Styela clava: one gene and its partners. The protein of the gene in region 3 purifies or fractionates together with the protein of the main gene of each other region. This does not show direct contact. Links are inferred from orthologs where the notes say so. Each region holds a gene or a part of one and is shown on either strand. Other genes may lie near its edges.

Region 1 (7,349 bases), on a different chromosome or scaffold from region 3:
TATCCGAGAGTTTTGCATCCAAGATATATTTTCACTGCTTTGTAGCCAAGATTTTCTCGTTTCATTCCCACTTGGTACATAAGATGCACTAACAATTTGGTTTTTACACAAATTTTTATGTCTATATATTGGCAATGGACTTGTTGGTTGAAATACAAATAGGTCATTTGAGTCTGTGAGAGCAGCTATAAAACTGGACAAATGATCATTGATGAGGTGCTTTACCTGTATGTTCACAGACCATAAGATTCCTCCACTTAATAAATCGCAAGCATGCATGGCATCATGCAAGACCACCATTAAAATATGTTGAGAGGAATGACTTCCAAAATTTAGGTGCTTGATATTTTCACCTTTACCAAATGACAACAAGATAGTCAATTCTTGTAATAGATCAGGATCACTGAGGCAAACTTTACTGCCAAAAGCTGTTGCACAAAGAGAGCCATCTTGTGAAAATGCACCATCATACAGAGGTTGATTCCTATAAGAAGCAGCAGTAACACAACACCAAAAGAATTGTTCATCACTAGAACCATGTTTCACTGTCCATATTTTAGCCATTCCATCTATGCTGGTTGTTAGAAGTGCTGGGTGGATTTCACCAGCATCTGAATGTGGACGAAATGTAATTTTTGTTACTGTGGATTTATGGGGATCGTTTACAACTGTATTCAGTTTCCACCATTGTTCAATTTCATCAAACACCCAAAACTTCAATTTTTGTTCTCTAGAATATGTGACATCTGGTATGTCTTCTATTGTGGCCATCCAAGTAAGCGCACTGGGATCATTTTTCTCAAAACCTTTTATAATTTTTTGACACGTAAACGCAACATTAGTAATAGTAGTCTGTGGTATATGTGATCCCATCTCAGAAGCAATATAATTTTGATGGACAATGTCTAAGTTATAAAGTTGGGTATCGGAGTATGGATGATAGAACAGCAAATGACCAGGCTTGCCATTGGTAACACAAGAGTTCGTCTTCCAGTCATATTCCAGAAATCGATGAGTGGTATTTTTGGATTCCATAACAGCAGTAAAACCTTCTAATGAATGTTTTATGGAGAAATAATTTGTTATAAGCAGTAATGAGTTGTCAATATGAGTTGTGGCAAACAGTGCTCCATTTCTTGAGACAGCAATATGTCGAGCAGGTGTACCCAGTCTGGGGAAGAAATCTTTTTTACTACCATATCCTTGATATATCCATTGTACCAAGACACTTTCCTTCCCAACTGATAATAAACTAGCACCACCTGGAGTAAAATAAACATCTTGGACTTCCTTGCTATGCCAATGTTGGGATGAAACTACCAAACCAGATTTGGTATGCTTCTTGTTAGTAGATTTTTTATTCCATTGATGCAAATTGTGCCAGAATTTGATAATTCCACTAGATTGGCCAGTGACACAAGCATTGTCTGTTGGATGACAAGCAATGCATGTTATTTCTCCACCTTTCTGGTCACCATGCTCAAGAATTGCACCATTTGGGTTGTTGATATCAAGGACACAAAGTTTTTTCTTTCTACAAAATACGATAATATTACCAGGAGACAAGAATGCAACTGTCCTGGAGACCTTTAAACTGACATTTGTGGCCAGAATAACCATTTCAAGACTTTCCTCTGACTTATTGGCATTTATTGCTTCAAGTGACACTTTAGATATAACTGAATTATCATTTTTCTTTGTAACAACAAGCACGTCTTGAATATTTTCGTGGGAATAAATTCCAAACAATGGTAATTCTGCTCTACATGTTCTTAGTAATACACCATCTTCATAATCCCATATCCTAATTGTTCGATCCAGAGAACTGGACAGAATTTGAAGGCTAATTTTTGGATGATGGCAAATTCCAGTTACTTCATCATCATGACCAATCAATCTTTGCGTGTTCTCGCCAGTTTCTGCTGAAAAAACTTTGATTTCTGATGCACAAGCACAAAATAAAAATCTTGAATCCAATGAAAACAAAGGCGGATGTTGAGTAAGGCTGTCACCCCCACTTCTTATGACATTTAATCGGGGAATCTTCATTAGAAATTTTGTGCTTATCGATTTTTTATGTATTCTAATTTCTATCAAAAAAGGCAAAAATCAATAAATGAGTATCAAGAATTGTTGGGAGGTATTTGGGGATAAAATAATGTGGCCCAACGATAAACATTATACAATTACTATAGTATGGATGTTTTAACGAGGTCATCCGTTTTATTATTTTTGTAAATCTATTAATGACAAATTAAATTTACTATAGACTACATCCAACAAGTTCATATTGGCCATTTATAATTTCATTGCAGTTTATTGTATAGCAAAAAGTGATATATATAACTGGGCAAATTTCTGTAAAAAAGAAAATTTTAATTTGTTTAAAGATATCCCAGGACACATTCAATTTTTAAAATATACATATAATAATAAATACAATAGAATCTGTTATATTCAAAGATATCCTTAAAAGAATAATGCATTAGACTAGACTTTGTTGATGTTACTGCTGTTCCAAACCATGCATACTATTTCATTCAAAGTGTATTAAACAGTTTTTCTACTCACTCTATATGAGTGACATCTTGCATACAATTTTGTTCAAAAAATGTTCTGAAGCAAATAAAACATTGATATATATAGTAGAATATACTATTTTAGTTATCGCTATAGCTTAATTGATTCAAAATCAGGCAATTTCGACAAGTGAACATTACTCTGAAGCACAATAAAGTGCTATTCAATGTCACTGTACAGCTGTAACAAGTTATTCAAAATTGTGTGATGCCCTTTATTATACTATTATTGTTACTTTTTATCATAATGAAGAAATCCAAAAGGTTCTAAAATGAGTCTAATTGGAATTATTGCTTTCCACACCCTTCACTTATTAAAATATATTAATGATGAATGTCTATATCAGCTATATAGCATATTTAGCGAAATATAGTAATATTATCAGTAGTCAACATCACAGTGCTATGTTAGTCCAGAATATCATTTAAGCTAAAATCATAATTTTCCATTCTTTTTAGCATTTTCAAATTCTTTTTTCAACTCATTTCTGAAGGTTCCCATAAACTTGTTATCTGATTTTCTGCTTTTCGAACCTTCAGAGATGGATTTCTTTGTTGTTTCTTCCAGAATGGAAGAAGTGCCTTTTCCTTTGGATAGAAGTGATTGATAAAACGCAACAAAAATTTGAGCACTCCTGCGTAAGATTCTTGTTTCTGAAAGTCGTTCTACAAGTTGTGTTTGATGTATAAAAAGTTCTGCCAGTCGCCTCCACATGTTTTTATTGAAAATTTTTATTAAAATTTAAATATTCCAGTATTCTGCAGGTACTGAGATAATGAAATTATTAGGTGATTAGTAATTGATGAAAGATTATTAGGTCTATAGCCTGCAACCTATTCTGATTGCCCCATTCCAGCCACCAACAGGCAGACAGTCATTGCCACCAAAAGACAGACAGGGAGGTCAGTACCTTAAGTACTGAGGTGTTACACTTAAATTATATGTTAAACTTAAATACAGAAACGGCAAATTCAGAAGATAAGATTTAGGATGAGATTTTATTTCGATTCATTCGCAAAAAACAAAATAAACATATATATACACAAAAAATTAAGGCGAAGAATCTGGAAAGTGAAAAAAACCTAATAAAATAAGTTTAAAACATATTAAACGCGTTCACTCACCGAAGAAGAAAGATTATGTGCGAGAGGATTGCTGGACTCTTCGCCGCCGTAGGATGGTTCATGTAACCTCTGGTCGGTTACTGCTTCCTCCACCATCAAGTCCATGCTTCCAAAAACAAATAACTGGCTAACTAATCCCATACCCGACCTGGATTGAGTGGAAGTGGTGACTCCTCTCTACGGCCCATCAAGTTGTGTAAAGGGAATATTCACTTGGCTAACACGACAGTCCCCGAACTCATAATACAGTAATAGAACTATAATGTGAAAAATCTGAACAAAATTTTGTCCTAACTCTAGCCTGGTACACATACTACAGGAGCATCTTTTTCTGTAGCTTGGTATTTTGCTTCTTTTTTATATAAAGGCTTATAGTAAGAAAAAAATTTGGTGGCATCCGCGGCCCATATTTTGATGGGATGCGGCCCATATCTTGATGGGCCACGGCCCATGTGGCCCAATTCGACGGGCCATGGGCCGTAAAGGAGTCACTACCCCTGTAGCCTGGACTGGTACGGTAACCGGATGAGAGGCCGTGGTTCGCCATATGATTAAGCCGTCTTATAGGCTTTCCATTCCCCCTGGATAAATATGTAAATCCTATCCTATCTTCGGCTCGAAGTAGCCACGTCCGCACGCGACGGCGGTCGGTTCCGACTGTAGGTCGTAGGATGCCTACATTAACCGATTCTGGCACAATTTACCACAATATCCTAGGCCTAGCTGTAGGTAGTACGGTACACGGCTGTTAATTAAACCAATAAACGGTATTGTACCATAGATTATACACCTCCATATATAGCACACACGTGGTGGCCACAGCCCAAAGGCTGGATATCAAATATTTGCGGCTGAGTAACCCGGAATTCAGCACGCCGCCAAAGGAGCCCATTTGTGATTATTTGTCATTCTGGTGTGGGAAATTTACCAACTATCGTAGTACTGTATATTTTACTCGTATATGCTAGCTCAGTGTTTTTCAACCGGGGTGCCGCGGCACACCGGTGTACCGTAAGTTATTGTCAGGGGTGCCGTGGGAAATTCCCAAATTGTGTGTCTATGCGGTGTAGCGACCGACAGAGTAAGCATGTAGTACGGTAGCAGCATCAGGTGGCGATTTGCTTTTTTTGTCTTTGTTTTTATTAGATTACTATTCAGGATGTCCTATTCAACATCTTTCTTCAATGTTAAAAATCTTATATTAACAATATAACACTTATATATATTGTGAATATTAGGCCTTTTCTTCATATTTTCAAATGTGTGTGCCGCGGGATCTTCTCACTGAAAAAAGTGTGCCTTGGCTCGAAAAAGGTTGAAAAACACTGTGCTAGCTATTCCGCAGCGTCGCAAAATAATGCATGCATGCTCCGCATGTTTACTTGCTTTCATCTGTTTCTAATTGAGCAATGCCCCAATAGCTGCATCGACGAGTTCAACTATGATGGACAGTTAGCGTGGCTTCATATCACACCTAAAAGCAGCAAATTCAAGAAGGTTAAAGTTGCATTGTGTAATTCGATGGCAACATTTGGTGGTCACATGGCCGGATTTATCATTAGGCAATGGTAGGCTAAACATTAAGAGCCTCGAATCTTAGGGGCATCGACATTCAATTTTGAACTATTATTGGACACGAAATGTACATATGGATCGTTCATTATTATTATGCTGTTATGCTCTTTTTCTTCATTTTCTGGTATTTCTCTTGTTATAGGTGGGTTATCACGGAATTTTTTTTTTTTTTTGGGGTGAATTTAATTCTATATATTTCTCCAGAATTTTTGACGCTTACTATTTATTTACGTAAAAGTCGACTTAGTTTACTTCTTATGAATTAAAAAAAAAACGCTCCAACGAAAATCGACCGCAGTTCCGAAACGAGTGCCCCGGCCCATGGGTCGTAGAGGAGTCGCCACCCCTGTAGTCCGAAACGGTGTGTGATGACGTAGACAAACACAAATGCATAGGAAGCTCTTACTGTAAAAGGGGATCCAGCAAGGGTGTTTTATGTAATGAACGCACCGGTACTGCCCGCCGACAATAGGCCTTGAAGAACTGTTCCTCTAGTAAGTTTTTACCACTCTTTTTGGCTGTTTGGTAAATTTACCCCAATAGTAGAATTCCAGTAGCCTAAAGGTTTAGTTTTTTATTCATTTCACAGTATTATGCAACAATACACTGTTGCATGTTGAACATTAATAATCTTTCTGGTGATATTATCCTGAACTCGTTTATATCAATTTTAATTGCATAGGCCTACTTTATGTTTTCCATTTCACACGGCTATCAACAACACAGTATAGCTGTCATTAAAGATACACTTTGAGCTGATCATTTGTTGAACGAGTATGACTAGAGAGGAGATGAGATTTCCAGTTCAATGCTGTGTAATTTCCAGAATAAAAGAATCATTTGGCTCCATCCAGAAATAAATTTGGTTCTTGCATATCAATGGAAATATTTATACAGAGGCTTATTTGGTATGAAATAATTTATAAAGAAAGCCCTTAAGGTCGGTGCAATATTTATAACACAAGGGGTCAGTTAATGGAGATTCGTGAGAAAACATTTTTTGACATGAATGAACTACATATGGTGAAAACTTATGTTTGCTTGCTGAAATTTCATAGACCTGAAAATGGTAAAAATAAATAAAAACATGATTTGATAAACTGCGTCAGGTATTGTTGTTTCGGGCCGTGGGCAGGAGTTTGCATAGACTTAAACATAATTTTAAGGCTGAAAGATCTTTCAAATCAGAGGTTTTCTTCTTGTTTCATGCTCTGGGGCAGACCCATCACTGTGAATTCTGCAGTAACCACAAACCGCTAGTGTTTGAAAGTACATATATGCTAATTATAATATATTCTATATATATCACCAATTTAACAAAAAATATGGTTACAGAATCAGAATATACCCACATTATTTTAATAATCTGGATAATTTGAGAAACATAAAATAGCAGCAAACAGTCCGGCACAGAGACAGAGTACAGCTTGACCTCGATTAGTAAAGTTTACTGTAATTTCTAATAATGCAACGATATTATTTGAAGATATTGGTATGTATTTAAACCACTGCAGCGTTTGCCCGATGCACCCCAATGGAACTGGCATACGGTCAGCGCCGGATTAACCATTAAACAATATAAGCACGTGCTTAGGGCACCACAGAAATTTTAGAGCTGAATTTTATATAGTTTATCGGTATTTATTAAAATGTTACGAGTTCACCAGGAGAGTCAAACTTCAAAATGTTCGCTTATTTTTTGTCTTCACGTATCATATTAACCTTCTTTACTGAAAAGAAACACTGAAACTTATTTATTGGACACGAAATGGGCCTATGAGTCGTTTCCTTAAATTGTTGTTGTTGTTTTTTTCTTTCTAGTATCCACCTTGTTGCTGCATTTTTATTTTCAAAATTTTTTTATTCTCTTCAACAATTGGACCAATGAACTATTTACACTATGTGGCGGTTCCACGATCGCATTTCAACGATATATTGGTCAGCAAAGTCGGGAGTTTCTTGATAAGGTAGACCAGGGTGGTCCAAACTCTGTCATGCTGATACATTCCGTGCGGCTCACAGAACAATTTTAGCGTATATTTGTATCTAATGGAGTAACGTTTTTGAGTT
Region 2 (7,127 bases), on a different chromosome or scaffold from region 3:
ACATGCCAAGCTTTTAATCTAGGAAAAATGAATTATAACAATAGATGCTTTACTATATTCCTAGTGAAAAATTGAAAAATATTGAAACATACCTGTTGCAATAATATCTGCGCTCGATCTACAAATGGCTCCGGTACGAATATAGTCCTAATGAGAAAATATGAGAAAATTGAGTAAAAGAAAATATATTTAGTATCAATGCTAGTTTTATCAACCATTCATTTCCGATGGTCCTGAGCGACTCTCAACCTCACAAAAAATGTCGTATCTTTTTGTTGAAACGGGTGACAAACCTACAGCTTGTTTTAGCCGCTTTCCATGAATTGCTGCACGAGACACATAAAGCATTTCACTCTTATAGTACACCGTGGATAAAAAAGAATTTCAAAAAAAACTTTTTAACGATGAGCGAAAAAAAGGTTAAAACCTATTAAAAACTGATTGAAAATGTGATTTCAAAAACTTTCAATGTTTGTACATGAAATATAGAGCAAAAATACCAATAACTACCTCGTGTTCTGAGAATTTGTTGATTGATTTTTCTGTTGCAACATCCCACACTCTTACTGTTTTGTCGTCACCCCCAGTAAAAACATGAGTAAGGTTGTTGCAAAATTTGGAAACATGAACTGGCCTGTAAAATAGATTAAAGAAGAGGTTCATAAAATTTCAAACTCATTGGATTTTTACTATAGTTTAGGTTATACATGTTGTAACAGTATATTTATAATTACCAATATTAGGGCTGCCTTCAAGTAACTAAATGCACATCTTAATCTAAACACAAGAACAGATAACAAAATCAGATAGTTGCTGAATATAGCCAAACTTGATCGAACCACCGTCTAATACTTTTTACAGCTAGTAACTAATGCAGTGAGACAAATGCAATCTATTATCGCATGACAATATACACTAATTACAATTTATAACACATAGAACAAAAATGAAATAATGATTAAATACAAATAAAGGTGACCAAAGTGAAGCATACTGCAACAGGAATAACTAAAACTTAAATTTCATAACAGAACAACGCATGATGCATTGGGAAAAAAGCTGACTTAATATTAAAATCAAACTGCACCAAGGAAGAGTTTCATTACAAATGTACATTTAATCATTGCAATACACCAGCTTGATTTTGAGCACAAAAAATATGATAATGTGGCTAAATCTGTGATATACTCATTCGTACTATAGTCATACTTTCTCAATTTTAGTTTTGGCAGCTTTAATTTATATTCAATTTTATCTAACCTTGTGTGGCCTTTAAAAATTCTCAAAGGAACACGTCCTTCTGTATCAAATAATCTTGCATTAGAATCTTCGTTTCCTGCAATTATTAATTTTCCATCCCTGCGATAACTTGCACCATATACAGTGTTATGGAACCTTGAGAAGGTTTTGATTCTTTCACTTGTTTCATGATGATATACTTGAATCTATAATAGGAAATATGCACATGTAAATCAAACCCCCAATTAAGCTACTTGGGATGTAGCAGAGATGTCCAAAACAAATCTCACATTTAAATCTATTTGAAATTAATTATATTTAATTTTATGTAATTTAGGTTTTGGGAATAATTTAAAATAGTTTTATTTGAAAATATTATCAGTTTAGGCCATTGAAGTTTCCATATTCATTTAATTTCAAATTCAATGAATATCTGTTGACTTCTATGTTATTCTTTGTAGATTATGAACGGTTCCAGTCAAAATGTTATTGATTGATTGTCTTCAAAAATAATATTGCATTATGATTTTTGTTTCATTTGTATCTGAAATGAGGGCGTCTGGCACGAAGGCAGATGTATCGGATCGCGTCAAACTTGTCGCGGAAACAATTTAAATCGATCGTGACATGCGCCGGTCGTCACATGACCAAAATTGCGTTCTTTTCTTAGGCGCGGCGGTGTGGCTCAACGGGCTAAGCGTTAGGAATACGCTCGCCACCGCACCTCTAATTACTCTGCGTGGGTTCGCAGGTTCGAATCCCATGCAGGGATGGTTATGTGCGAGAGCATTGCTGGACTCCTCGCCGTCGTTGGGTGGTTCATGTAACCGCTGGTCGGTTACGGCTTCCTCCACCACCAAGTCCATGCTTCCGCAAAACAAACAATATAACTAATCCCATACCCGACTTGGAATGGTAACCGGACGAGAGGCCGTGGTTCGCCATATGGATAAGCCGTCTTATCGGCTTTCCTCTCCCCCGGGATAAATATGTAAATCCTATCCTATCCTTTTGCTAAAAACTCTCGAATGCGAAGATAAAATTTTTTTCCTCCAGTAAATTGGATTGGATCAATTAAACTGATGGAGACGTTTTTAGATTGCACTTCCTTTCACTGTTTTAGTTTATTGCGCAGAACCAGTTGGCATTTCGAGTCGATATGGAGGCCAGACTGTTTTGTAAAGAAGGGGGCTGTAATAATTGATGTCTATTAATATGGAGCTATTCCTGGAATCTGTATGCCCTGCTGTACTGTAATATATAATACTCACACGAGTTGCTGACGAAACAGCAATGTTGTGAGGATGTGTTGGTTGAATGTCAATGTGTGTAACTGCTCCAAATTCCTTTACTGTGACAGGAAACTGGAATTAAATGCAAAAAATAAGATCTACAGAACTAGTTATAAATCAAAAAATTAGTTCAAAAAAATATTCATAACGTTTTTTGGCAACAGACGAATTTGAAATAAAAAACTAATTACATTTCAGTATTCAATTTAGTTGTTCTGTTTTTACTGTTTTAGTTACTGCTGTACTGAGTTATGTCTAACTTACCTGCAATCCTTTCCAGTAATACCCGTCTTCAGTAAGAAGCTTCCTTTCATGAACGTTAGACACGGGATCCAACCGTTTAAACCTGCTTGATGTGTTCAGAACTTTTTGCGACATGATTCTATAACGTTACGGTATGTAACATAAAATTCGTCATAAAATGACATAAAATGATTCCGAGCACCCAACAAAACGTGTGCAAGGGACTTCCCCATAAGACCGGTCAAAGGTCATATTGCGAGTACGGTACGTATTCGTTGTGGAAGAGAGAAAAACCCATACACACGGAAGAACCAGAAATTCTGCGTAGAAAACTTTTAGGCAACATTAAAACCACACGCATACACATTTGACATTGATTGATTTGAGCACGCTTATGTGCACCGACTTTTTGTCAAAAATGGACCATATCGATGATTTGTATACTAGCATTATTTGTTGTTTCGGAGCTGATGTTACAGATTCGCTTAGAACATTGGTTGAGGGTTGGGGATATTTTTCTCCGGGTCGCCGAAAACCCCGACCACGAGACGCATGTTTGAATTCCGTTGAAGATGATAATATGTCAGAGAACCAATCAATCAGGACCAACGACTAACGATCAAGACCCACCATTACAGGGTGATCCACATAGCTTCCGGAGCGCTGACTAGAAGAAAAAAAAGGACGAGCTCACGCATCTCATTCATTGCCAAGTTTACGAAACGGGGTCACATTACAAACACCCAAATAAATGTATGATATTATTTGATATTTCACGTTATATCAATCATATATATTGCTCTTTTTTAGTAAAACAAAAATGGCATAAATCTACCATTACAAAAATAACTAATCCGAGAAAATCAAAAATATATAGGCTAAATTTTTATGTAGGCTATTATTGGACACACACGTTTTCATGTTATAACATCAATCGCAATTTTACTGATAGCGGCGATCGATGAGCTTTCAAAAACCTCCCTGACAATTAAAGTTTACGAACTTTGTCGTGATGCAGAATTGCCTGGGGGTATGTTTTGACAGACAGATTTTTGCTATAGTAATACCAGTCGTTGATTTAAATACCAAGCATGCTCCTGCTGTTTGTCTAGTTTGAGATTTTTAGGCAGCAGAAAATATATTCTAAATAGTAAATACCCTAAATCATATTAGAAGTTAGATTATAAAATGCCATCTGCTTGGTTAAATGTAGACAGAATATTGGCGTTGAAATGATAATATACGGGCTTGAAAGAACTAGGCTACATGTCATATATATTTAATTATTTGGTGTCAGTACTTCTGCTCAAAAAACTAACTTAGGACCATAGGTATGGAAATGCAAAGAAATGATCAACCTGAACAAGGAAGGAATGTACCTCTCGCAAAAGCTTTTTCGATAAAGTCCCATTTGAGTAGAAAAGCCATAACATTAATCTCTTCCCTTAAAGACCCAGACACATTTGTGTCCACAAATTATAGAATGTAAACGCTTAAGACGTAGCCTATACCCAAAATTTGTTTCTGGAGTATAGTTTTTGGAGGGGAGTATATAATATACATTCAAAGCAGATAGTTAGCCTGCAACGTAATATAAAAACCAAATAACAAAGAAGTAATACCGAATCACCAGACCCGGCACTTACCAATTTAAATTTGATTTGCATAATATTAGCGCTAAATCTTAAATATATGGATAGTTCGAATAAATCGTCACAAAAGGGGTTGCAAAGCAAAAAGTCAGATAAAGAAAAGGGTGAGTAACTGAATGTTTATTTGCCGTAATTACTTTAGAGTTGTTCCAATTTTTGAAGGCGATTGTAATCTTTATGGTAGCCTACATAAATGAAAACAATTTTCTTATTCTCGCGTTGAGCACGGAATGAAATTATTGCGAAGAGAAAATAACAATTTATCAGTTATACGAAAATCCATACCATAACTCTGTTCAATATAAATGCTGTTTTTTTTATTGATTTTGCAATGGCCAAACCATTACCATGCATGATCATGTCCCATATTTATTTCATTAGAAAAAACTCCAGCAGTTGGATGTGAAGTTGACTTCATCGCTGACGGAGTAAACGAAAAACCACAGAAAAACACTAAGTCAAAGAAAATAAAAACTAAATCATCAATGAAATGGTCATCGGGAAACAAAGACAAGTGAGTGAATTGCATCTGTGATTGACTAATAAATTAATTTACAACAACAAAACTTATCTTACACCAAACCCCCGAACATTAGTTTGTTTTAATCTATTCTACAATTGTTTGCGATTGCGGCATGATTATTGAATTGTAGGGCCCTGTGTATCACAATAATGTGTGACGAAAATATTTATTTAAATATTTGTGGGTGTTGCGCGCAAGTGATTACCGCGCTTGTCCTAATTATGTTGTTGTTGCAGTTTTTTGATATGCCGCAGCGGAAAAATTGGTTTCGAATGGTTTCCAAAGTCGATTGTTCAAACGAGGTTTTTTATCAGGACTCCACATAAACGAATAGCACCGGTATATTATTTGAATATATAACCGTTCTCATGAGCTCACGTGATATTGTTTTTTTCACACAGAAAAAAATCTGGAAGAAGTAAAAGCACCACATCTAATGACTCGAAAGTAGAAACAGCCACGGAGCTCTGGAAATCAATTCTATTATGCACCGAGTAATATTATGCTATATATATTGATACATTTTTTTTGTAATATATATATCATTAATTGAGGTAAACTCACGTGTATATATTTATTCATATTTTTCAGTGAGTACATCGACCAAAAAAATGACGCAATGACCCAATTGAAGAAAGATGGCAGTATGACGCCAAAACACGTGAGATATCTTCTTTCTAATATTACAGATTGCCCGTGTATGCATACTTCTTCTAATATGAAGATATATATGTAAAACATATTTATCTCGGAGAAGACGGAAAATAAAATATATATTTGCTAATACGCATAGCGAACGATGGCCTCTTTTTCGGGTGAGATAGAGATAGGAAGAATTTGTAGAACTTTTGCACAAAAACCTGATTCTAAGCATAATGCTTGTAGGTGAATTAGCTTTTATAATAAGTTGAGATATGAAAATGTTTACTGTGGACTTTCAAAATCTGATTCATCTTGATAATTTGCGCTTTGGATTTTCTCGTTATAAACACCAACACCCTTGAATACCAGCACGGATGTTGGATTTGTCAAATAGTTAAAATGTGAATTCAATTCTACACATTCCTAGTTATAGTGGAGTAAGATTGTGATGACGAGGATCACAGAAATTCTCGCTTATTATTATCGCTCAGCGATTCAAACTTCTGTCTCTCAGGCAGAGTAAATGTCCTGAGCAGTCGTGAGTGTGATGCTGAGGCCTGGGGCTCAATTCAATAATCCAACGGTACAACCAAAATTTAGTATTATAATTATAAAGTGAGATTGTAACAAACTGCCGACTGAAGCCAAATCAAAGCCACTTTAAACACAAATTAACTTAGTTATTATAAAGTAGAATGAAATTATAATTATTATTGACTATTCGTGAATAATATATATATATATATTCTATAATTCCATAACCGTAATAATTTGCTATACCAATTAGTATTGTTAATTTTTACAGATAGAAGAAATACGAAAACTCGAGATTCTGATTAGAAGTATTAAATTTTACAAAGATTTCTTATCGGCCGCTACACAAAGTAAGTCAAACATATCAATGGTGGTTACTAATTAACATTATTCGGGGATAATCTTGAAAGATCATGTATATGAACTTGAAATATACACAAATTCAACGCAGACTTGAATGATCTCCCGATAGAAAAAAATTAAATGTTCAAAAATTCGTTTTTGATTTTCAGACTCAAATACTTTTCAATTTGCTTATTTTAAAATATATTGAAACTATTTTGCACATGCCAAGTTAATTGTAACACCAATACATTCACTAAACATAACCTGACAAATATTATTTTTGTTTATTTGAAGATATCGGTACAGAAGACGACGTGTATGTAAGTACCGATTAAATTGAAATTTTAAGCATGTTGTATTAATTCATGTCTTTACTAACATATTCTTAAATCAAAATATATTTTGCGTTCATTTGGTAAGTTATATTTGCCCTGTGTTTTTTTATGAGGATTATTATAGTAAAACAATTCACTTCCTTCATATGAATTATCTTTGACAATATTTCTAATTTTGAATTCATCTTGCTCCAAGGTAGAAGATTCGCCAATGTTTGGTCAACTCAGACTGGGAATTGCAGGTTTGAGATTTAACGTTTTTTCCTGAAATATTTTTACTCCTCATTTTATCGTATATAACTCATTGCTTTAATTTAAATCG
Region 3 (7,989 bases):
TCAAATCTTTGTCCAATACGTGAAGTTGTTTTCAAATACTTCTGCAAACAGTTTGAAATACATGTGCTTTCTTTTGACAAAACATTCCTACTGCCAAAATCATTGACACAGTCCGCAAAACATTGTTCAGTTATTTTGTTGTATGTGTTTAAAAATTCCTTAAGTTGTTTCATTTGATCTGGTCCAACCAGTTGAGACATGCCCTGAACCCCAGCCATTGTTTCGTTTACTCTAATGCACTGCACTACAGTTGCACCAATACATAAATCTGAGTAAGAAAATAAAAATAGGGGTTAGGCGGATAAGCCGTATAGCTGTATAGTGGGGCAATGGCTGTAACAAACAAAACAAATATGCTCGGAAAACTAGAGAACAAAGTTTATAATACGCAATGCACATGCTCGTTCACCAAAAGTAACACAAATTATATATTTATAAATAGTAAAAAGAAACTCAATGAGCAGCAGTAAAAGCCTCCTGAGGCGTTTCATGTAAAAAACGTGAGTTACAAATACAAAAATTGACAATGAAGTTGATGGTGTGTCGACACAAACAGCCAAATCAACGTAACGTATGGTAATTTGGGCAATAGGCCTAATTACATAAAATACCCCTGGCCTGGTGCATGTATATGACGGGTAACTTATATTACATAAATTTACCATGTATATCTGTACCTTGTCTGCAGCATGCGGTTTTTGTAGATGCAAATTATTATTTTTTTTTTGCCAAATAAGTTCTAATGCCAAACGGAATTTTCGTATCATTATTTTGGAATCGAATAATTTTATTTTAAATACGTGGATTAACTCATTTTTGGACATATATGGTTTATATTACCGTAAATTACTGACATCATGGTAATGGTATGAATTTCATATTTATTTGGATTTTTACTCTACTATTGATATATATATTGCGGGAAATGGGATTTAAATAGAGAAAACAAAAAACTATGTACCGTATTTAAAATAAAGTGGATGCAAATTAAAATAGCGTCACATACAAAACAAGGACCATACCAACATCCTACTACTACGCACACTGCAACGCTAAGCTACATCATGCTTCTCCACAAGATGAAATTCGCCGCGCTCTGATCTATAGTGCCCCCACATGGCTGCACGCCAAGGTCGATATCAGACATCAGCAAGACGCTAGCTAGCTAATATCTCCAAGTGCTGCGCATCTAACATCTAAAAACAAAAGCGGGTTATCGTGATAATCAGTGGTTCTATCTAGTAGTATATATTTACGGTTCTATACACTAGTGTGCCGTGAAAGATCATCAGACTTGCCGCAGAGATTTTCGAATTAACAAAAAAAAATTGAGTTATTTGTTTCAGTGTGTAACAAGACTTTCGAATAACTCAGAATAGTTATCTTAGGATCGGATTTCCATATTTGTTAACTTTGTATGTTTTACATCCTATATGAAGTTTTGTATCCTCGAACTCTGTAATCCGTATTCGTTTGTTTTGATAGCAATGAACCAGCACTGAAGAAATACCAACAAGGAGTCACGAAACGGACATGAGGTAGCATGAAGAAGAATATATGGAATTGATATTCAACTGTCAGCGGATGCTACAAATGCTATTACTATACATTTTACTTAAATAAGAATTAAGATTAAATAAGAATTTGTAATGTAACAAGATATGACAATTCCCATGCGCAACGTTTTTAAATATTCACGTAATGGCATATTGGGGAACGAGAGTCTTGTTACGCCACTGGTTATGGCGATAATTAAATTAAACAATAGTATATACGGATATGATCATCATATATATATATGAATACTGTCATTTCACAAAAATGTAAGTATGTCTTTGCCTATGTTGCTCGGACTAGATTTTCAAGATATTATGACACACTATATTGTCCTCAGTTAATGTTGCCGTATCCACTATTTTAGTCATTGTCATAGTTATCACACCGTTACAATCAATTAATTACAATAAATTAAAAGGAAGATGGGGTAATATTCTTGCTCAATGGCGCGGTCCTTTTGTTCATCAAATAAATAAAACCACAAAAAAGAAAAAACTTCTTGTTCTTCAAAAGAATTTCATAAAAAGTGTGATACTATTCTTCTCACATGACAAATATGTTCATATGGATAGAGATTTTATTTCCCAAATAATGTCAACACTTGAAACATTTGAAGCAACAGAAACAAAAAAATAATAATTCAGTAATAATTGGTTATCATTATTTGTGAGGGCCAGTATACAAGACCGGTAAGGTCACCAAGGCTGACACCGATGAAATATATAAATTGAAAAAATTGGATTCTTCTTATAACATAGTACCTCCTTGTTTGTGATAGAGCCTTGTTCGAAGAGAAGTTATTGAACACGCGATTAGAAGATGATAATATTCTTGTCCGACAGCTGTATTCAATTTTATAAGTCCTAAGCTAAATGAAAGATTTTTTTTCTTCACAGGAGGCACAATAGTTGTCTGCATACCAGCGACTGCTCGTTCAGAGCCTGGTACAGATTACTCAAATAAAAATCAAGTCATATATATATACCACGAAAACAGTGTATTAAAATGGGGGAATGAATTGTCAGAATTGTTCCCAATGCGCTGTTCCTTAAATCAAAAAAGTACTCGGCAAAATATATCAGCAGTGTAATTCTACGTCTCATCAAGTTTGGGCGATGTCACAATCAAGCGACAAAACTTGTTTAGAGCTTTGCTACGGGCAAAGGCTACGGGTAAGTCGTGAAGCTCCTTATCAGAAGATGGAATGAAACCGATCTTATACAATAGCCGTAAGCCTATTCAATCTAATAATTCTATATGGAACGATTTTTTATAAATTATCGGCTTTCCTCTTCCCCGGGATAAATGTGTAAATCCTATCCATTACCAATAATAGTAATATGGATGAATGAATTGTTGTTATGGATGAACTTAATAGTGTGTCAGCCTAATGCGACCTCGTTGATAATGCGCCATTCCATGCGTCCTTGCTGTTTGTAAACGCAACCCGCTGTTCCTAATGAGCTGTGCTACACAGCGGACCCGCGATGAAGCAAGTCAGCGCGGCGAGTAAGGAAAAGATTTTCATATTTAGCGTATTCCTAATTTTGCCAGTCTTATTTCCATCGATGAGCTTGCATGTCACTGTGTAACTCAACGACTGTTTGGCAAATCAGCATGGTAAGAGATTGTATTGTCGTATGTCAGTATGTTTCCAGTGAAAATTGAGAGGGATTTTCAACAGTAAAATGAAACCGTAAGTAGTATTGCTGGAAATGAACTATGCGTATTGCCGTGTGTGAAATAGAATCTAAATTTGTCAGTCACGCAAGTTATATATGAATCGTGAATATTTTGATTAGTTTTTGATTTTATTGAAAGAAATATTCCAGTATTCAGCTGGAAGGGAACTAAATAATGCCAGACAGAAAAATTATGAAGAATTATACACATAATATTAATCTATTAATACGTTTTTTTTTAAATTACATATTATACTACTTAATTAATAATTGATTGACTGTATGCTGTTGTGATAATTTCAACACTATCAAATACAGTTCTCTGATTCCAAGAATAGCCCCCACGCCCCCACATTAAAAGACATCAATAATAACAGTGAGTGCAAACCCCTCCCTCCTTTACGAGACAGTGTACTGGTGTAGGCCAGGGGTCGGCAACCTACGGAGTAGTATAATCCGCGACTGGTCACTGAATTATAGTAACAAAACAGCTGTTTTGACGATTATTCTTTGAGTAACAGAATTCATTGTGAGACACGTGTAGACTAAATTATATTATAATCTAACGAGTATAAAATTCACAATTACTCGTTTAACTATAATTTAATTGTAATTAGACAAATGGCAACAAAACGCAGAAATGTTGATGCTAAGCGCAAAGGGTTCCATGGCGCTGAAAATATTCAAATGGAACTTTTTGAGATGCAATGCAAAGAGGAAATAAAATCTATATTCTATTCGAGAGATGTATCACTGCTTGATTTTTACTATAAAAAGTATCATTCGTTCGGTTTTCAACTTTATAGAAATATGTCCGGTGCGCCAATGACTTGCAGCTGCAACCCTTAATTTTGGCCCGCGGGCGACAAAAGGTTGCCGACCCCTGGAGTCGGCCTTCATATGGACTCAAAACGGGAGGCTGGGAGGCGCAGTTCTTACCACTTCAGCACTTCATGACAGCTCCTGCCACGAACGTACCGCGGCGTCTCTTGCCATGGTTTTATCGCACGATTACCGGTATATTTACAAAGTCATGTACAATATTTTAGTTTATCATGCAGAATTATATTTACTTAAACCTAACCCCAAATACATCAAAACTGTATTCATAAGAAAAGCGTTCCAACTTACCCAATATTTATCTCCATAAGGGGCAGCCCTGCTTTTACAGCCGACATGCCGTGGTAACGGCAGCAAAATTGGTGGTATTCGATTTGCTGCCGTAACAACGGCAGCCCGCTATTGGTTTGTGGCAGCTAAAAAGTCAGGGCCGTAGGTTTGGTCATAGCGGCCATGGTTTGGAAATCCCGCCATGGTTTTGCGGCAGCTCTAGACGCCTCAAAATACTTGAAACTGCACTTGCAAAACTGCAATCTGGCACTGCGCAATAAACTAAAAAAAAGCGCAGTCTAAAAACGTCACCATAGGATTCCATAATCTAATTTACAGGAGGAAAAAAATTTTACTGTAGCGTTTTGGTCACTTGACGGCAGACTCATATTGGTATTGATTTAAATTATTACTGAGACAAGCTTAGTGCGATCTGACGCATCTGCCGTTGTGCCAGACGCTCTCGTTTCAGACACAAATAGGTAACCAAATTTTGCGACATCTTAGAATCAGAGAATTGTGCCCCACTGAAATATAGATGGATTGGATATACATGAACGCATAAATTATATGCTTAGTTTATTATTACCGTAGGTATTTTTGTTTATAATTTATAATTCTTATCCCATTCCTTATGTTTCAGTTAGAATTAAGTCTATATAAATGGGTGAATTTGCTGTTCATCGATGCCAGTTGTTCGAGTACACTCCATGCACTATACAATGCATCGCTAGTTATGAATCGTCTGAAGGTACTGCTTCACAAAAATTGTTAGCAGTTGGGAGAGAAAATGGAGCTATCGACCTCATCAGATGTACGAAGACTGGTTTTTATAAGTATATGGTTATTCCAGCATCTTCTACTCGTCATTTAGAAGATATTGCATGGTATAATGGTAGACTATTTTCTGCAGAACTACAAGGAATAATCAGTGAATATGATTTAGTAAAAGGAACTATCAAGCGAACAGAAGATAGTTATGGTGGAGCTGTTTGGTGCCTTGCTGTAGGAAATAAAAAAGGAGTCATTGCAGCTGGCTGTGAAGATGGAAGTTTAAAAATCTACAATTGTGAGAAAAACAGTTTGTCATTTGAAAAATCATTTGATAAGCAAGAGGGGAGGATTCTCTCCTGTGCTTTTCATCCAGACAATGATGTCTTAGTCTCTGGATCTGTGGGTGTTATAAGAATCTGGAGTTACAAAAGCGGTCATGCTATGCAGAGAATAAACTTGGAAAGTTCTAGAAGTAAAAACACGATCGTATGGGCTGTCAAGATTTTAAGTAACAATACGATTGTGAGCGGCGATTCAACTGGTAAAGTAAATTTTTGGAATTGCAAAAATACTACATTACTGAAGTCATTTCAAAATCATCGTGCTGATGTTTTGTCCCTCTGTGTTTCTCATGATGAAAAAGTTGTTTATGCATCTGGTGTTGATTCACGAGTTTTAGCTATTAATTGTTCATCTGCAATGGTGGGCGAAGATGATCCGTCTTCAGCAACAACTGTAGACTCTTGGGTTCTAGGTGCAACCTTGCAAAAACATACTCATGATGTCCGTGCACTCGCAATCGTAGGAAATTATTTAGTATCGGGAGGTGTGGATACTAATATTTTGCTTTGCAATATCAAAAAAGGGGACTTTACTAAAATTAAAAGAATGGTTGATTTTCCCCATAAAAGCGTTGTTCATATAGCTGAAAACCCAAGATTGGTTTTGTTCCAGTATCCAAAACATTTGGATATATGGAGAATTGCAACTCCACGTCGGGTGAATGGTGAAGCTGGAGAAAAAATTGATTTAGAACAGGATCCAGCCATTGTTCTTCAAATAAAAATGCCTGCAAGTCAATTTGATGATATCACATGTTCTGCCATCTCAAAATGCGGCCATTGGGTTGCATATTCATCTCAATCATCATTTAGGCTTTTCAGGCTACAATGGGGAAAAGAAACACCTTCTGAAATATCTCTAAATAAAATTCCTATTATGTGGATTAAATCTGCATTAGCGATTGCATTCACTCCAGCCTCTGAATATTTGATAACTTCAGCATCGAACGGTAAAATATTTGTCATAAAACTAGAACCTGATGGCCACGTTCACGTAGCTCACGTATTCAAAAATGAAACCGATAGTATCCTTAATGTACCCGCTGTGTTATTTAGTGCCACCAATGAACTCTTTGCAGCTGTAGATTTGAATGATAATATCAAAATCTATGACTTAGAAAAACCAGAGATTCGATGCACGTTGCCCAGTCAAGATAGCTCACCTACTGCCATTTCTTTTAAACCATCCTCTACCAAACTTATAGTTGCATACCAGAATCATGCTGTAATAGAATATGATGCTGACATGAAATCATACACAAAATGGTCCAGAGAAGCAAATTCTGTTTCACTCAATTTAATTGAGTTTCCGTGCAAATATACCAAAAGGCCGAAAAAGCTTGGAAAATGGAATACATCTCCGATAATAAATATTTCGTTCAACGCGGATGCTCCTGATATTATCCTTTTGTCTTCTCAAAAGGCTTTATACTTCCTGAATACTTCGTCTGGTATTTTGAAAAAGATCATTTCTCATGAAAAGGAAAGATCAGAAAATGCCGTTGAGCAAAGCAAAGAATATGCAGCTGAACTCAGAAATAGGAGAAAAATGTTGGAAAATCCAGTCAAATGCTGTGACAAGTTTGAACAGTTGTTGCATGCTTCGTTCATTGATGGTGGTTCATCTATTTTTGTTCTTGAAAGACCATGGCATGATATTTTTGATAATTTACCACCTACTCTGTATCAAAAAAAATTTGGAACATAATCTGTGCAAGAATCGTTGTCATCATGCAGTTGACCTGGACAACTTGAAATCTTGGATAAATCTATTAAACGGAATAGATAATAGACTCGAAACTTTAATTTGTGTTGTTAAAAAAATCGTTTTATAGGCCTATAGTAGCATTGACCATTTGTCTTATGCTTACATTTTTATTATTGGACTGGTCACAACTTACAAAGTCTTATCCATTGTTTTGAGATATAAAATTTTTCGATATTGTATTTTGGCCAAAACGCTCTCTATTTCCGTAAAACTTTCAATTGGAAGGTATTAAAATTTGTGATATTTGTTACGAATTTCAATCTGCTTTGAGTATTAAGAGAACTTGAAAAACATCATATAGATTAACGGAATAGAATACTATTTTTGACATTGCATAAATGAAACTGTATTTGATTTATCCTTAACAATTTGAATTTTCATCCGTGGTGCTGTTCAAAAAATCCTATTTGTGATTGATAATATTTGAAATCATCATTTTCTCTTGTGATGTGGCATTATTGGTATGCTCTATATCTAAACTGTTGTGTATTATACCATTATGCAATAGAAATGTCAATGGAGTTCTTTCACTGGTAAATATTTTGAGCTGTATGGTTGGTCATATCAGCACCATCAACTGCGAAATTTTTTTTTAGATCTAGAAAATTACCATACTAAAATAAAATCATGAGGATTGTTTCAATACGAAGTTACCTGGTTTTTGTGTGTTTTGCAATCATATCACTCTGGCTGCTCTTTTACTTTGTTGGAGTGGGACGAGTACAAAATTTATCTCGGGCTGGGCTGTCCGATGTAA

What was found. Proteins that work in one complex are often made in the same cells at the same time.
Region 1: the proteins of U3 small nucleolar RNA-associated protein 4 homolog (region 3) and WD repeat-containing protein 75-like purify together in Homo sapiens (co-immunoprecipitation; 3 studies listed by BioGRID and IntAct, counting the BioPlex papers as one, with this or other methods). This does not show direct contact. The link is inferred for Styela clava from reciprocal best matches to the Homo sapiens genes UTP4 and WDR75.
Region 2: the proteins of U3 small nucleolar RNA-associated protein 4 homolog (region 3) and U3 small nucleolar RNA-associated protein 15 homolog purify together in Homo sapiens (co-immunoprecipitation; 4 studies listed by BioGRID and IntAct, counting the BioPlex papers as one, with this or other methods). This does not show direct contact. The link is inferred for Styela clava from reciprocal best matches to the Homo sapiens genes UTP4 and UTP15.

The regions. Positions count from the first base shown.
Region 1 is NC_135250.1:18,830,758-18,838,106, forward strand, and holds the start of WD repeat-containing protein 75-like, read right to left. Parts: upstream 3,016-7,349; 5' UTR 2,050-3,015; coding exon 1-2,049. UniProt on the Homo sapiens protein: Ribosome biogenesis factor. Part of the small subunit (SSU) processome, first precursor of the small eukaryotic ribosomal subunit.
Region 2 is NC_135256.1:19,821,277-19,828,403, reverse strand, and holds the start of U3 small nucleolar RNA-associated protein 15 homolog, read right to left. Parts: upstream 3,016-7,127; 5' UTR 2,910-3,015; coding exon 2,796-2,909; intron 2,604-2,795; coding exon 2,511-2,603; intron 1,446-2,510; coding exon 1,261-1,445; intron 635-1,260; coding exon 511-634; intron 148-510; coding exon 93-147; intron 1-92. Other genes in the region: uncharacterized protein LOC120328857, read left to right, coding at 4,467-4,530, 4,808-4,940, 5,351-5,443, 5,541-5,610, 6,397-6,475, 6,765-6,790, 7,002-7,047. UniProt on the Homo sapiens protein: Ribosome biogenesis factor. Involved in nucleolar processing of pre-18S ribosomal RNA. Required for optimal pre-ribosomal RNA transcription by RNA polymerase I.
Region 3 is NC_135254.1:14,336,549-14,344,537, reverse strand, and holds U3 small nucleolar RNA-associated protein 4 homolog, read left to right. Parts: upstream 1-4,980; 5' UTR 4,981-5,012; coding exon 5,013-7,172; 3' UTR 7,173-7,829; downstream 7,830-7,989. Other genes in the region: mitochondrial import inner membrane translocase subunit Tim9-like, read right to left, coding at 1-218; alpha-1,3-mannosyl-glycoprotein 2-beta-N-acetylglucosaminyltransferase-like, read left to right, coding at 7,860-7,989. UniProt on the Homo sapiens protein: Ribosome biogenesis factor. Involved in nucleolar processing of pre-18S ribosomal RNA. Part of the small subunit (SSU) processome, first precursor of the small eukaryotic ribosomal subunit.